Linked DNA regions of Schizosaccharomyces pombe. Changing the gene in region 1 together with any one later gene gives a genetic interaction. Each region holds a gene or a part of one and is shown on either strand. Other genes may lie near its edges.

What was found. A genetic interaction does not mean that the proteins touch.
Region 2: mutations in saf1 (region 1) and cwf11 impair growth when combined (synthetic growth defect), as found in Schizosaccharomyces pombe (2 studies listed by BioGRID).

The regions. Positions count from the first base shown.
Region 1 is NC_003421.2:1,649,585-1,657,849, reverse strand, and holds saf1 (splicing-associated factor Saf1), read right to left. Parts: upstream 4,003-8,265; 5' UTR 3,975-4,002; coding exon 3,138-3,974; 3' UTR 2,268-3,137; downstream 1-2,267. Other genes in the region: trp663 (TRP-like ion channel protein), read left to right, coding at 1-219; NatA N-acetyltransferase subunit Naa50, read left to right, coding at 334-768; poly(A) polymerase Cid12, read right to left, coding at 1,171-2,181; trm44 (tRNA (uracil-O(2)-)-methyltransferase), read right to left, coding at 5,070-6,578; SPOM_SPCC663.09C (dehydrogenase), read left to right, coding at 7,561-8,265.
Region 2 is NC_003423.3:921,133-929,271, forward strand, and holds cwf11 (protein Cwf11), read left to right. Parts: upstream 1-1,539; 5' UTR 1,540-1,592; coding exon 1,593-5,447; 3' UTR 5,448-5,509; downstream 5,510-8,139. Other genes in the region: TORC1 serine/threonine protein kinase Tor2, read right to left, coding at 1-1,152; gta1 (glutamyl-tRNA amidotransferase alpha subunit), read left to right, coding at 5,718-5,964, 6,011-6,836, 6,884-7,226; mRNA cleavage and polyadenylation specificity factor poly(A) polymerase Pla1, read left to right, coding at 7,857-8,139. UniProt on the Schizosaccharomyces pombe protein: Involved in mRNA splicing where it associates with cdc5 and the other cwf proteins as part of the spliceosome.

The DNA of each region.
Region 1 (8,265 bases):
GTTTCTGCAAGTGAAAAGCTATCCACCGAAGAGATTATCCCACAAGAATCAAATTTTGAAGAGCCCTCTACCACAAAGAAAGAAGGAAACGTAGACACAAAGGAAGATGGAAATGACGATGTCTTCAGCCTTGTTAACGCTTCTCCTATGCGACCAGCATCTACAATACCTTCACATTCATGTGACAACGGGATTAATGAAATGCAGCGTACTGTTTAAAGATTTTATCGTGGATGTTTCCAACTCAAACTATTGCATTAGAATGCCTTAAAGACTGAAAGTTGACAACACCAAGTACATATAGAAAAAGATATTTGCATTTGCATAAAAAAGATGATTGAACTTGATGCGATTAACCCTAATAATCTGAAAATCCTTGAAGTTATTAACGAAAAGTGTTTTGATCCTGAAATCATTATATTTCCAACCTCCTTTTACAAAGACACAATCTCAGTCGGGCCTTTAGCACAATATGCGTACTTTAACCAGGTCTGCGTAGGAGCTGTTAGATGCAAAAAAGAAACACATAATAAATCGCACAAAATCCAAATTTTATCTTTGGCAGTTTTGCCAGCCTATCGAAACCGTTCTATTGGTACCAAGCTGTTGGAATATGCTTGCGAGACTGCAGCTGAGGGAAAAGCCAAAGAAATTTACATTAAATTAAGCCCTAAACTCGATGTATCCGAATGGTTTATTCATCGGGGATTCATTATTGATGAGAGCTCCAAAACAGAAGATAGCGTCCTTCTTTCGAAAAAGCTATAGATTGCACACACATTTATTAATCTAAGTGAAATGCAATTATTAAATTGACTTGAAAATCTAACATGGATCCTTGGATAGATTTTAAAAGAATAAAATAGATTTAATTTTGAAATTTTTAAAGAACAGATTTTGTTAGCACCTTCAATAGGTACAAAATGTGATATCATTTGAAACAGCCGAACCTTGCCTAAGTAAAATTAAAAGACTTGAAAATGACTAAGATAATTGTAGGATTCTTATATCCTATCAATAATAAGAATATGAATCCATTCAATTAAACAAGAGTAAAGTACATACGAACTGTAGTGAAACATTACCACATGCGGCAAGACAACTTAGGAATTGAAAAACAAATGTTTATTTAAACAGCGAGCATTATTTTTTAAATGCATTAACCCGCAGTTATCCGCCAGCTTGTAATTCATCTGATTCCGTATCACTATCATATCCCTCCACCAAACTTCGTTTAGTATTTATAACATTTTCAAACTGTTTACACAAAAACATTTCATCTTCCGTAATTGCAAAGGTGCTAAACCATGTCTTATCGGATAATAATTCATTAGCTGAAGCAACAAATGCAGCTTTAATCATACTAATTTGAAATGATTGCTTTCCAATGTCGTTATTTCTGTCAATTGGATCTTCAATAGATAGCAAATTTGGTTGCACTTCGTTTAACCAGCCCTTTTGTAGCTTAGGAACTATTTGACCGGTTAAAGGTCTCAATACAAAAAGTTCGTATGTCCATTCGACTCCCCAAAAATAGAAGAATTTCTGTAGTAAAGCTCGAATTGGTTGCACTTCCGAATCAATTCCCTTTTTGTGAAATCGCATTTCAAGCCAACCAATTAGCATATAAGAGAGCGCGCAACTTGCAATCCCGCCATGATGAACGTTTTCCAAATCTCTTTCAAACAACCAGTGCTTCAATAGCATCAGCAATCTACCAAAAATTGGGTGTTCTTCGTTATAAGCTTTTTGCAATTCAGCAGTTCTGCAAGCTTTGTCATTTCCAAACGTCAAATCCACCCCAATTCCACTAACATCTACTAAATTGATGCGAGGGACTCTGGCACTAGAATGGAAATCAGCATCAGCATCCAAGTACTTTCTTAAAACCATGGTGACGCGTCGTTTCTCCAATTCTCCAACTCGAGGTGACTTCAAAGATACGTCTACATCACTTATAGATAATGTTGTTCCAATATACATGCTACCGTATACTTGAAGTTCAGCATCCAAAACGACCTCCCTAATGTGAGTCTGTAGTTTCTCTAACAAAAGCTTTCTGTACTTCAATTCCTCGATTTTCGGGCTTACGAACTCCAAAAATGAATAAAGTCGAGCATTATCACTCAAACCTTCTTCATTCCATGGTACTGAATGCAGCTCTAACAGGACTTTACCCATTCTTAAGAAATGGCATTTTGGCTAATTTTAATATCAATGGATTCAATTTCATGGCTCCTCGCACATAACGAGGTCGTGCGAGTGCCTTGTAATTATATGTAAATAAATCATTTTATAGCAAAAAAAAGTATCACGAGTTTTTAATCAATAAATAACTTATTTGTTTTTATAAATAATAGAATGATTGACTGCAAAAGCTTCCTAGTCTCATACAGCATTTATAGCGAAAACCAAAGATTATGAACCCAAGAAAAGCAAGCAAAAGATAGATAAGTACTCCCTCATCTCTCATTGTGCAAATTTTAACTTAAGCATGTGTATTTCGATTTTTAAAGGTTTCCTTTATGATATTTTTATTTGATAAACGAATTCGTTGGTTTACGCATGTAAATACTGTCATGGCGTCTAAATACATATGAAAATAAAATAAAATTAATCCAAGTAATTAGTCATGTACTTCTTTCTTTTTGGTAATCTGATTCGTAATGAACAGTGTAGGACTAAGTGTAACAATCATAATTTAGCAAAAGACAAATTCACAAAAAACAGTCAACTTGAAATAATCACGGAAAGATGAATATAAGGTGTTTTTTTGAAATCCCCTTTCGCTCAAGCAGTGTAAAAGTGACTATAATAAGGAATTATTGAACCAAGAAAACATTAATAAATATCATGCAATAACACAGAAACAAAATCTCCTTTGTTTTTTTTGGACATCAAAAATTTGAAATTATTGACCGCATCATAATAATAAGCCTTTGAATTAACTTATGAAAGCTCACTCATAATTGAATAAAACAAAAAAACAAGTACAGAGATGCAATCAAGCTCCTTTAAAATTGAACCTAGTAAACAGATATTATATATAAATTAATATGCATGTTTATTAACTAAAAATTCCGTCTACACCCATTTGGTAATCCTTACTTCCAATCTCCATAATTTTAACGACTTTTTTATAGATATCCGCCAATTTCTTTGTAGAAATTATCTATTTCTTCATCCTTGTCTTCCTGAACTTGGCTCGATACATCCCTGTCTGGCTGTCCAATTTTCTGCCCCTTGGCTAGTTTTTGTCGTTGAAACGCAGCAGGTAAAAATTGAGCAGCTTCTTGTCGTAAATCTCTGACTACCGGCTGAGCTGAGTACTCAATCATAGTTTCCTCTTCAATGTCCTTCGTATTTGCAGCAGCTTCTGTCGTAGTAGTGGATTTTGGTTGTGCTGAACTTGCATTTATGTCTTGCTTTTTGTGGTGCTTTGGCTTAAAGCTCTTATTTTTCTTTTCCCTTGGCTTTGGATCCTCAAAAGGATATTCTTCAGAAGGTAAAGGTATATCAATAACGGATTCATCTGTTTCTGAACTTAGTTCTTCCTTCTCACGATAAGGCATTCCTGGCGGCGGAACTCCGTAAGGATTAAATATTGGATCATAATATATACTTCGTTTTGGGTTTTTAGGGATAAAAGGCTTTCTAGGTTTATGTTGACGTTCTGCCTCCTTAGTCTTGTCTGACTCAACACGCCCAACTCTATGTCCATGAATGTTTTTCTTCTTCATAATTGCCATATCTCTTTGCAAATTTTGTAATAATTGCTTGTCATGTGCATTTAAAGCTTGCGAAGATTCTAATTGTGTCAGCTCTGATAATTGGCGTTCCATTTGGCTCATATTCCTATGCGACAGTCGTTCTTCATGGCGTTTTGCTCTTTCTTCTCGCACTTTAATTTGTTCTCTTTTTTTCTTCTTTCTGCTCTCCGCTTGAACGGGATTTAATCCCCGTTTTGACAGCATTCTGTAGAGTCAAGTATAGTATGGGTTTAGAATGGTGGTGATCAAAAACGTGACATGTATAAAATATTTAGGCAAATAGACAAAGAATAGTATTAAATTGGTTTGAGTAATCGACCGTTTACATTAAATTTAAATAAAGAATAATTAGTAATGTTGAAGTTGATGAGCTAAAAACTAAAGTTAATAGGCTGGTAATTAATTGTGTATATAGAGTATGAGTCAATGATGGAATTTCAGAATCTTTTCGTTTAAGTATATTCTACTGTATTAGCAATCATTTAGTAGAATTGGGCTTTAAAACGTAATTATTTTTCTGGCCTTGCATTTCAAGGCTTCCATTTTTGACATGTAAGAGTTGGCTATTTAAGAAAAAGTACTTACTCATTGAACTTGGCAATTGTCAAATATTTGAAATATGCATACTCCTTATTTTAGTGATATTTTTCAGCTTGACTTCCCGTTTAAAAAATGAATTACTGCTTAGTAGAGGGAACATTTATGATGGAAGGTGATTTATAGTCGTGGATTCAACAAACAGTAGCAAAGTTCGTTGAAAATAATTAAATTCTTCTATGTCACTTATTAGTAGACCCAAAATCAACAGTTTACGTTACAACAATTGATAGGTTTTACGCTAATCAAAAACATATTGACAACCATCTACATTACAAACGCGTTTATGAACCAATCACATATAGTTTTATTTTCTTGTAAACATGAAAGCATTTTATTAACCATTAAATCTTGATCGATAAGAGAACAAACAATTTTGCCATTTTTACGAACCAAGTTCCTCATCCGGAAATCCGTAAGCTTGGCAGATACAATGGCTGTTCCATCTTCACCGAATCCAATAACCGATAGTCATCGAACGGCCAGTAAGAGATTACCAGCACACGAACTATATCAATTTCAGAGGATGGTGTTAGTAGTAAGAAAAACAAGCCATCATTTGGGACTATAAACATCTAAAAAGCAGTCACTCAACTAACGAACTTTAAAGCATTTAAAGTTGAGTAAGCGAATCAAGGGCAACTATCGAACTTTGTCCGTATGGCAGAATTCTATATATTAAAAAAATGGAAATTTTTTGAACTAATGAGACCGAGAATTAGCCGCTGCAACTTGCATAGCATGGACAAAAAACCCTTGTGAGCCATGATTTTTTTCTACGATGTCGTACAAAGCATCGGTGCTTAAACTGGAGTGCAGCAGATCATTCGATAGTAATTTTCTACCTATAAGAGCGTAATTTCTGGTGCTAGGAATGCGTAGTGGTTCAACCTCGATATTCCAACCTACCTCCTCTGACAGCTGCATGAGCCATTCAATGTACATGGCGTATCTTCCTCCATGTTTGGGATTTCGAGGTTTCGGTAATGCCCAGGAAATTTTAGCACCTGTCAGATCATGAACGCAACAAGGAATCGACATGAAATAGCATTTCTGATTTAATCTTGCTAAAATGGGAAGATAAGGAGTCAATTCATCCGCATGGTTTCCGATAAGGAATGAGTTTTCAGAAAATCGACCGTCATGAATGTTTGCAGCGGACATAGTGAAACCGGCAGGCAGCTGAGGAAATGGAATCTTTGTTTCAAAATCATGCAGAAAATAGGGTACAAGAACTTTTTCGTATAACTTTACTTGAACCCAAAGGGGATATGTCTCCCATGATTTTCTTTTTCTAGCGTCGAAGCCATATCCATTATAGCCCTCCATTAACAACAGATAAACAAGTAAACCATTTCCGCAACCAACATCAACAAAACTAAATTCTTTGTTTGATGAATAAGTTTGTTTCCACAATTCTATAAGAAATGCTGCAATAGCCAAATCTTCGAAAACGTGTTTACCAGGATCCGTTTTTTCTACCCAATTGTCAACAAGTTGCTTGGCGTATTTATCTTTCAGAATAACATAGGTATCTTGAAACTTGTTTCTTTCCACAACAGTGTCGTGAAGCATGCGTTTTTGGTACCCTTCCACTGCCCCCTTGCAATGCTTGTGTAAAACAAGTAAAAGCATATGAGCTGTTCGCAATAAACGGGAAGACAATTCCCTTTGAAAATCCTTTTCTACTAAATATAAAACCTCAACACTTGATCCTTTGTAATGAAAAGCAATTCCAGCTACTGCGGGATGATAGTATGGAAGATGATTATAGGGCTGTTCCAAACTTTTGTCCAGGTGAGGTAAGTACATTAATATACGATCATTTTCAAGCTTCTCATGTAGCACAACAACCGTTTGGTCCATTGTCGCATCCAAATTAGTATTACGAGGAATAATTCGACGATCGATCCACCTTGAAATTTGGTACCTTTCGTCAAGATTTTCGAAAACTGATTTCTGCTTGTTTAGAATTGAATCATCCTCTTGAGAATCAAGAATTATGTCTGTTCGCATGATAACACTGCTTGTCCGCTCTGGATGATAGACTAATTCTATCATCATTTTGTCAAATACCTCAGCTGCATAGCAGGTATCGTGCTCCAAAATGGATTGCCATTGGTAAGATGACTGCAAGTCATAAGGAACAGGTGGATCACATGTCAAAGCATTTTTTGGTTCTCGCGGCTTCCAATACGCAGGAACCTTCATAAATGCAATGCGCAAAAACCTTTCAATTGAACAAGTACGAAAGTACTGTTAGCAGAAAAAAAAATGTCGGAAACTCTAGCGCTTAATTTTAAGCATGTTTAAGGAACGCTTAATATACGTTAAATAAAATACGGATGCGTTGGAGATTTCAAAAACATTTGAATCTGTGTCTTTTCCTGTAGTAAAAAGGGAGAAAGGATTGAATAAATGGTTTGCTCAAAGTTTAACTAGCATTTCCATGAGTTCAGGAATTGCTAAAGGGGAACTTAAGGGTCTAAGCTCCTTTCAAATGAGTAAACAGGTAAATATTAATTCCATAAGGTAAACTTTGCGAATTTTTTTATTCGCAAATTTCCATCCATTTTGTATTGGTCATATAGTCGTAAAGAAGCCTAATCTTGAGATGCTGTAAAACTTCATGTCATATAATCTTACTAAGACACTCTATATACGATTCTCTCTTTCTCCTCAACAAAAATATTATCTTACAGAGGGTTTAAATTGGTAGAGCAAATTGACCTAAGAGGTGAACCAGTAACCTGAGAAAAAATTGCAGCTTCGATGTATGTATGAGATAGATTCTGTAGTTGTTTTATTATAATCTGACAAGTTCTTTCTACCGGAAGATTTCAAAAACGAGGAAAAGTAGTTCTTAAAATTTTTTCATCCTTTACTACGCTCTACAATCAAAATTTTCGATTTCATTAATTAACACGGCTTCTACTTTTTTTATTTTATGCAAGTCCCATATAAAAAGACTGTTAATATCAAGCAGCAAATACCGATAGAATTTTGTAGAATGAAATTTGACGCTTTTGGTTGAGAAAATCAAACGTGTGCAAAATGTCACAGCTCTTCACACGTAAACGAAATAGCGAACAAACACTCCTTATCAATAAAAGTACAGCAAAACACCAAGGAAGTGTCAGTTACTATTAACCAAAAACTAATTGAGAAACGACTTTGAGATTGTACTATAAAGATGGCTACTACCAACAAAGTTTACTTTATTGCAGGAGGAAATCGTGGTATTGGACTCTCTCTTGTCAAAGAGTTAAGCAGTAGAGAAGGAACGACTGTGTTTGCGAGTGCTCGCAAACCCGAAGCTGCTACTGAATTACAAGAATGGAGCAAATCTCATCCTAATGTTAAAACTGTTGAATTAGATGTCACATCTCAGCAGAGTGCCAATGAAGCTGCTCAAAGCGTTGCGAAGGCGGTCGATGGAATTGATGTTCTTTGGTTGAACTCTGGTATTTGTCAATCTTACTATACAGTTATGGAAGCACCTGAAGAAGTTTGGAATGCTCATTATCAAACCAATGTTTTAGGACCTATCCATGTGTTCAAAGCTTTTTATCCGTTGTTGACAAAGAAAAAAACCAGACAGGTTATCTTTACTTCCAGTGAATGCGGCTCAATGGGCGACTTTCGTGCTACTGGATTCTCTGCCTACGGTCAGTCCAAGGCAGCAATCAATTTCACTATGAAGGAACTTAGTGTCGAACTAGCTGATGAACACTTCACATTCATTTCCATTCATCCTGGAGTAGTAAAGACTGATATGAATGCTGATGCTATCAAAAAATTTACTGAAACATCTCCCGAGATGCTGACTTACTTAAAAAAGGTTACTATCATACCCGAAGAAAGCGTTTCATCCATGCTTAAGGTGGTTGACAATTTG
Region 2 (8,139 bases), on another chromosome or scaffold:
AAATATTAAGTCAAAGAGGTCATACGCATAGTTTGAAAAGGCTTGTCCTAGTGCTATAGAAAGTAGGCTAATGCATTGAAAAATTGCAGCATCCGAAGCACTTTTATTACGGATATGGATTTTTAGACTTTCCTTGATTGAATCGCATATGGGGTCAAGATATGGGATTATGCTATTAGTAATAGCCACGGCAACTTTTCCAATAGTGGCAAACGCCAACATCTTAACATTTTCTTTTTTTAATAGATTAAGTAGATGGAGCATACAAACGTGTAAATAATTGGAAACAAATTCATCTGGATTATAAGCTGCGAGTGTAGCAATCAATTCTGTAACGGTTTTGCGAATAAGCAAATCTTTGTGATCTCTGAATTGCAATATAATGTCCGATACTTCTCGATACCTCTCATGCATAAACATTCCAGCTTTTAAAAATAATTGGCGATATACTAGTAAACTACCATGAATGTAATCAGAAGAACCCTGTGCAACACCACGTTGAGCTTCATTGAGAATACTTGTATACCATTGGAGACGGATGGATGAATCCCTTTGCCTAACGATTTTCAAGAACTCACTCAACGCATCAGCCGAAGCTATTCGAATAGTAACTTTTGGATCCCGAAGTCCATGCCATAAAAGCTCAAAAATTGAATCGATATGAGCATAGATTAATGTAGACGTATTTTTGGCAAGCTCCTTAAGTATAAGCACTGCTGCATATCTACGATTTTCATTACGTTCTCCTTGAAGCCATTCCAAAGCGCGTTTAACTTCGAAGTTCACAAATTCAGAAGTTAGAGCACCTCCAGGAACTGCAAGTCTCCCTAAAGCTTTTGCAGCAAGAACGGTGGCTTTTTGGTCAGTTCCTGGAAGAATAATACGCAAATAATTTGCAAATCTAGTAATCCTTGTAGTATCTTCTCCTTCATAATCAATTAGACGATTTATGGCAGTTACGCCTGCCAGACGATCGAGTGGATCGGTACTGTGAATTAAAGTATAAACGTACTTGTTAACATCATTGTTAAACTGAACTAAAGCTTCGCCCGATAATTCTCGAGAATAAGCTATAACATATTCATAAAGATCATTTGCCGCTTTATTGCGAATTTCTTCATTCCTGCTTTTCAACCCAGGAAATTCTTTCATTATATACAGCTTAAATTAGCATCATTCTCTCAATTAAACAAAATTATTAAATGTGGTTGGTGGTGACCAAACAAGCACCTGCTGTACTTTTGCACCTAATTCTTAGTATACGCAGAGAGGAGATCAATAGAAACACGATTGAAAAAGTAATATTTTTATGACGATTAATTATTTGTAATAGATATACAAGTTAATATTTAGTGTTCTCAAAAAATCCAAGTTTTATTAAAAAAAGTCTAAACTTAGGAACTTTGGTAAAATACCAAAAACGAGTGTTGATTATCTAAATTTTATTTTCGAAGTATTACTTTAAGTTTTTTACTTTACATTTTTCTCAAAGCTCATAGAGGAGAACAAATAAGAATCGCTGTTAAAGATTCTGACGCTAACCACCAAGTTCACAACACTTGTGATATTGCTAATATCCCTTTCTCTATTAAATGGTTCTGTATAAAAACAAAAAAAAACAAATCATTAATTATGCAAATTCGAATTGGGGTCAAAATGAAGGTGTAGAATTTCAAGAAACTATGCTACAATGCATCCTCGAAGCTGTCATTGTAAGTAAAGATGCTAAGCAAGTACTTAGTCTGTTACATGAGTTAAAGCTTTTTGAGAATTTCCTTTGGCAGAGGGTTAATACTGAGATGTCATTGAACCATATAAACTTAACTTGTATGCTTCTATTATACAAATCCAAATATGAATATATTACATGGGACCTCATTGATGAAAATCGGTTTCAATTATTTTTTGAAAAAGTAATTGAAGTCTCTTTATCCTTAAATTTATCAGAAGTGGTTTACATGATTCAATTCATTACTCTCTGTTTTCAGTTTTCGAATATAGAGAAATTAAGGAAACTTGTTTACCAGTTAACGAACATTTCTATTTTAAATTCGCTTGATAATCTTGATAAAGTAAAATATTTACTACATGACTCAAGCTCTCTGACGAAAGCCTTTGATTCTTATAAGGAAAAACGACCGTCTATCGTTGAAAAGTTCCCTTTACATAATTTACTTTCCCGCTGGATTCATTCTCTGCTTATTAAATCGATTAGCTACGCTCAAACTGAAAAACAAGAAGCGAAAGTAACCCCCCTTTTAGCAATTATCAATATGTCTTTGGTTTTACTATCCGCATTTCCCACACGTCGCTTTGCTCATCCCGTAATAGAAGACAGTTGTTTTTATACCGCATTAAGAATGTCTTTGTATTACGACAGTAATGAGCTTTTTAAAAAAATGACAGACGACTTAAACTATGTTTTGAAATTCCCTTTTGATAATACCAGAGGTAACGAATATGAGAAAGAACAAAAAATCAGAAATGATGAGCTTGTGTACTACCACTTACAGTTAACTTTATTTTCGGATTTTCAGAAGGAATTAGGGGATCTGGTATTTTGCACACAAACCTCTTTACAACAGCGACAAAAATTGGAGGAAATTACGTCTTTTCTTTCCTTCAATTCACTTAAGTCCTTGTGTAGTAAATGTTATTTGAGGACTTCATTTCCCGAAAAATATGCTATAAAAGTGGATTTCGAATTTTTAAAAAATGTTTTTATTAACACGTATGATAGGACTAGATTGGTAAATGATTATGATGAAATCATAAATTTTACTTTGAAAGATGTACTTGGTGAGCGATCCGTGATGGACCAAGAAAACTCTTTGACCAATTACTTCCTACTACAAAACACTGCTATACAATATCTTTCTATATCTTTTTTTATGAGACAACAGAGTAAAGCTTACAAAAAGTTATTGTTAAGGTCACTATATGCTGAACTTTTAAATTTCAGTGAACAATACAGGAGACTATCAATTAAAAATGCGACCAAGAATTTGACCAAAGATAATTTTTTCTCTTTAAATAACTTTAAAGTTACCTCCGTTGCTCCACCTCAAATCGGTCAAGTTTTACCTCAATTTGTAAAGTGTCAAATGGGTTTAAGTCGACCTGGACCTTTTCATTCAGCGTTACGTGATTTAAAGAATTCCATCAAGAGCCCTTTTCTTTGCTTAATATACATTTCTAAAGATATGGAGTACAAGTTATTACATGGTAATGCGCTTGACCCCTTAGAAGGGGTGACTGATTTTACAATCGCGACGATATGCAATGATGATGTTGGAATGTTTCAAAGCGATATGCAGTCAGATTCTGACAACAAGTCCATCAATGTATACCTAAGCCCATTTTATTATCATTCCCTTGCGGGGTTGGGGGAATATCGCCCTAAGCAATTGAAGTTCAACTTTGCTTTGGTACTGTCTCCTGAGGCAAATAAGTATTGGTTGGACTTAAATATTCTTGTATCTTTACTTAATCGCGCTAAAGAATTTCCTAAATGGTTCGAAGATTTATTTTTGGGTTTTGGAACGCCTGATATATGTGCTTTTCCTAATGCTGGGCTTAATTCTATTTATGCTAGAAACTTGTTCAATACAGTCGAACAGTTGCAATCAGTACTTCCTAATTGTCATGTACCTTCTAATTTATCAACTGAATCTTTACTAATCAAATTTTATACTAATCAGAACAAAATATCAGCTGATGTTACCGCATCTGATAGGCATTTTTTACTACCATCAAATCGATTATATACTTACAATGACAAACAGCTAGAATCGATTTTACGTGGATCTCAACCAGGATTAACTATGGTTAATGGTCCAACTCGTTGTGGAAAACATGTTTTGGTATGCAAACTTCTAGAGGTTTTACAAGACACATCTCCCAATGATAGAACCGTTGTACTTTCTGACTCCAATTTCTCTATGAATACTTTGTTTACCTTACTGGAAAAAGCTAGATGTTTTCACCAAGGGCACCTATTATATCTATCTGATGAAGGAAAAGACGAAACGTTGGAACGTTATGGTACTTTATCGTCTTGGATATCTAAGCTTCCTGGTCTTCTACGAGAAATCGGTCGCCTAGCTGCTTCAATCCAGGCTCCAGGTTCTCATGACGCCAGCCCAGATACGGCTTTGTATTTTAGGGATGCTTATATTAAGCGACTTTGGGAAAAGTACTTGAACACGGTAGATGATAAGGATTCTGTGGATGCCTATAACAGGTTCCCTTTCCATTCGTATTTCGGTGACAAATCTAAGCGTCCGATAGAAACGTATAATAAAGATAATTTTTTCGATTATGCGACAAAGTTATACGGGGAGTTAGAATATATGTTCCAACAGCTGGAAGAGATCCGGCCTTTTGGATTACTGAGATATTATGAAGATCAAGAATTGTATGCATTATGCCAACAATCTAGGATTATCGGATGCACTTGGACGAGCTTAAGTACACGCTTAGGGACTTTGAAAGAAAAGGGATTTTGCTTTAACAATTTAATTGTTATGAACTCACAAAATATAAGTGAAAGCTCTATCACTAGCATACTACTTTCAAACTGTGAACCAACTGGTTTTGATCGCCTTGTTCTTCTGGGTAATCAATATCTTACCTCTGGGAATCAGGATATAAATAATACGTCAAATGGTTCACTTTTCAAACGTTTGCGGTATTTGAAATCCAGAATTATTGACCTTAATACGCAATACAATGTTAGAGAATCTATCAGTTCTCTATGTTCATCAATTTATCCTTTGGACATCAAAACTGTGGATTCTAGTCCCAATAAAAGACTTGATTATGGTAATTCGGGGTTTGCACATGAGGTCCAATTTATTAATGTGGGAGCTTTTAAAGGTTCTCAAGAAACAGAACCCGTTAGCGGTTATAAGCAAAATCTTGGAGAAGCCGAGTACGCAGTTGCCTTATTCCAGTACATGCGAATGTTAGGTTATCCCACCAACGAAATTGTAATCTGTACGCTTTATGAGAGTCAAGTCAGCCTTTTAAATGAAATTATATCGGTACGCTGTTCTCATAACTCGTTTTTTGGTCAGCCTGCTTTTGTAGGTACCGTGGAAAAATTACCAAGCGATAAACGGGTAAACTTTGTTATATTTACGACAGTTGAATCTAAAGAGGCCTCTGATCATTGGAATCCAAAAACATTTTATAAAGCCTTTTCAGCATGCTCATATGGTCTGTACGTATTGTGCAACCGTGACCTTTTTCGCTCTACACGTGGTCTTGAAAAACTGTGGAATGAAATTGAAAAGACTCCTGACAAGCTGCTTTTAACCACGGGAGAAATATATCCAAGTTCTCACAAAATCGGATCTTCCGTTGAAACATTTGAAATTGAAAATTTACTTCATCTCTCAAACTATGTTGTTGAAATGACTAAAAAAAGGTTAAATACGAATTAAAATAAAAACCTACTTCATATAGACTATTTGCTTGTTGTATTGAATTAATGATTATTTGTAAGATTAAAGTCATTTTATTTCATTGCTTTTTTGCATAATTAACTTATTTAAAAAACTAAATAGTGAGCTTTACAAACAATAAAAAGTTGATCCCCTCAGAAAAAGTCTTAGGTGTCATACCGATAATAGCTCACTACTTTATTCAACTATACAACAAGTTGGGTAATACATTATTTGCACGAAGTTAACGTCCAATGATTGATTGGTCGAATGAGTAATAAATATAACAATTTATTAAAAGAAGTTGCAGCTAAATATGCTAGTATCATTCTAAATGATGCGAAAATTAAGTCTTTAACTTCAATAAATAGTGCCGAATATCTATATGATTCATTTGTTGAAATTAGTAAATTACCACTGGAAAAGAAGCTTCCGTTAAAATGGAAACTGATTACAGTAAAGGAAAATATTTGCACGAAGACAAATTTAACCACGGCAGCCTCTAATATGTTGAAGGGTAGACAATAAGAATATATTTCAGTTACTAATTGCGGTTTAACTAGACTACAATTCTCCGTTTGATGCGTCAATTGTCGAAAGCTTGAAGAAAGCCGGCGGTATTATTCTTGGTAAAACAAATATGGATGAGTTTGCAATGGGAGTCAAGAGCGAAAACAATCTTTTTGGTCGCACTGTTAATCCTGTTGTTAAGGATAGTAATTACGATGTTGGGGGCAGCTCGGGAGGAGCTGCTGCTGCAATCGCGGCGGATATATGTTATGCATCAGTTGGTTCAGACACAGGAGGATCAATCCGTCTACCTGCTGCTTACGTAGGTTGTGTAGGTTTTAAACCATCTTTCGGCAGGATTTCGAGATATGGAATGCTTGCCTTTGCCAATAGTTTTGACACAGTGGGTATCGCTGCAAATAATGTTAAGGGCGTTACCAAAGTATTTAATGTTTTAGACCATCCCGACATAAATGACTCAACCTGTTTAACTAAAGAAGCTCGTTATTTTGTTAAAGAGCAGCACAAAAAATTATCGCGGAAGCCAATTAAAATAGGAATTCCAATTGACTGGAATGTTTCTGAGACTCATCCAAACGTTTTAGATAAGTGGAATGAATTCATATCTCTTCTGAAATCAAATGGTTATCTTGTCCAAGAAATACAGCTTCCAATTTCATTATACGCTAACAGTGTATATTCCACAATGGCTTATGCAGAAGCGACTTCAAATTTGGCTAAATATAATACTATCGCATTTGGCAATTGTTTAGATGAAAAGTTCGAAGAGGAAATAATTTCATCTACTGCACGCTCTTTTTTTTTAGGAGACGAAGTGAAAAAGAGGCTACTGCTAGGCGCTTATTCACTAGCAAGAATGTATGATATAACTGATTTACTAAGTAGTTACTAATATTTACAAATAGGAATTCCTCTGATTTGTTTTCTAAGGCTCGATACGTTCGCCGAGCCATACAGCTGGAATTCAACAAAAACTTTTTTCTACCTTCCTTTTCTGTCGATGATCCCAGGGGTGACATCGATTTCATAGTTACCCCTTCTTTTTTTAATTCCAGTCAACCCATTGAAACCCCGTCCTCTTATAGTCATCTTTCAGATACTATGTTAGTTCCAGCGAATATGGCTGGAATACCATCCGTTAGCATACCTTTCGGTACTTTGAACAATGGGCTTCCAATGGGAATTCAAATTATGGCCCAATATCTTAATGACGAAGATTTGTTGTCTTTTGCAGGCCAGTTTGCATAGATTTCGGCTGCTTATCTAAACTCTCGAAACATGGCTATGATAATCTTTATGAGCATAATAATTCTTTACTGTTTGGAATCAATTTCATACATTGAAACTTGTTTGCAAAGAGTTTTGGAGAACTTGTCATCAATAATTCGACAGTTTCCCTACAACTGCGGTAAATCCAATAAATAGATGTGGATTCTGAATCATTTACACTTCTCAGCAACATAAATTATTTTTACATTTCAAGTCGCTAGTTTATTCAACCAAAAAAAATGCATATCTGAAGGATGGAATTTAACGGGTAAGCTTTTAAATACAAAACCAGGAGCAATCGGTTTGTCAGATAATGAACATAGTGCACTGTCAAGATATATATGATAAACAGCAACAATTGTATAATTTACCAGATAAATTAAATTTGATTTAATCGAAATAAATGTCTCAGTGCAACTGTAAATGAATTTTTTGACATTATAATAAGATAACGCACTTTGTGAAATTGCGTATTTATGCCTTAAATCCTAAACGAATGCTAACCAGATCTACACATTTAGCATTAGTACGCTTTAAACCAGTTGTTTTTAAAGGTTAGGATAATTTAAAACAGCTACCTTTCAAGACTCCAATTTTTGTTTTCAAAGCATGACTACCAAGCAATGGGGTATTACACCGCCAATTAGTACTGCACCTGCTACTGAACAGGAAAATGCTTTGAATACGGCTTTAATTAATGAGTTGAAGAACCAAAACTTGTTTGAATCTCCTGCCGAATCTGAAAAAAGAGTAAAGGTTCTTGATGAGTTGCAACAAATAACGACAGAATTTGTAAAGAAAGTATCACTTGCCAAACATATGAACGAAAAGATGGCTAATGAGGCAGGGGGGAAAATTTTTACGTACGGAAGTTATAGACTGGGCGTTTATG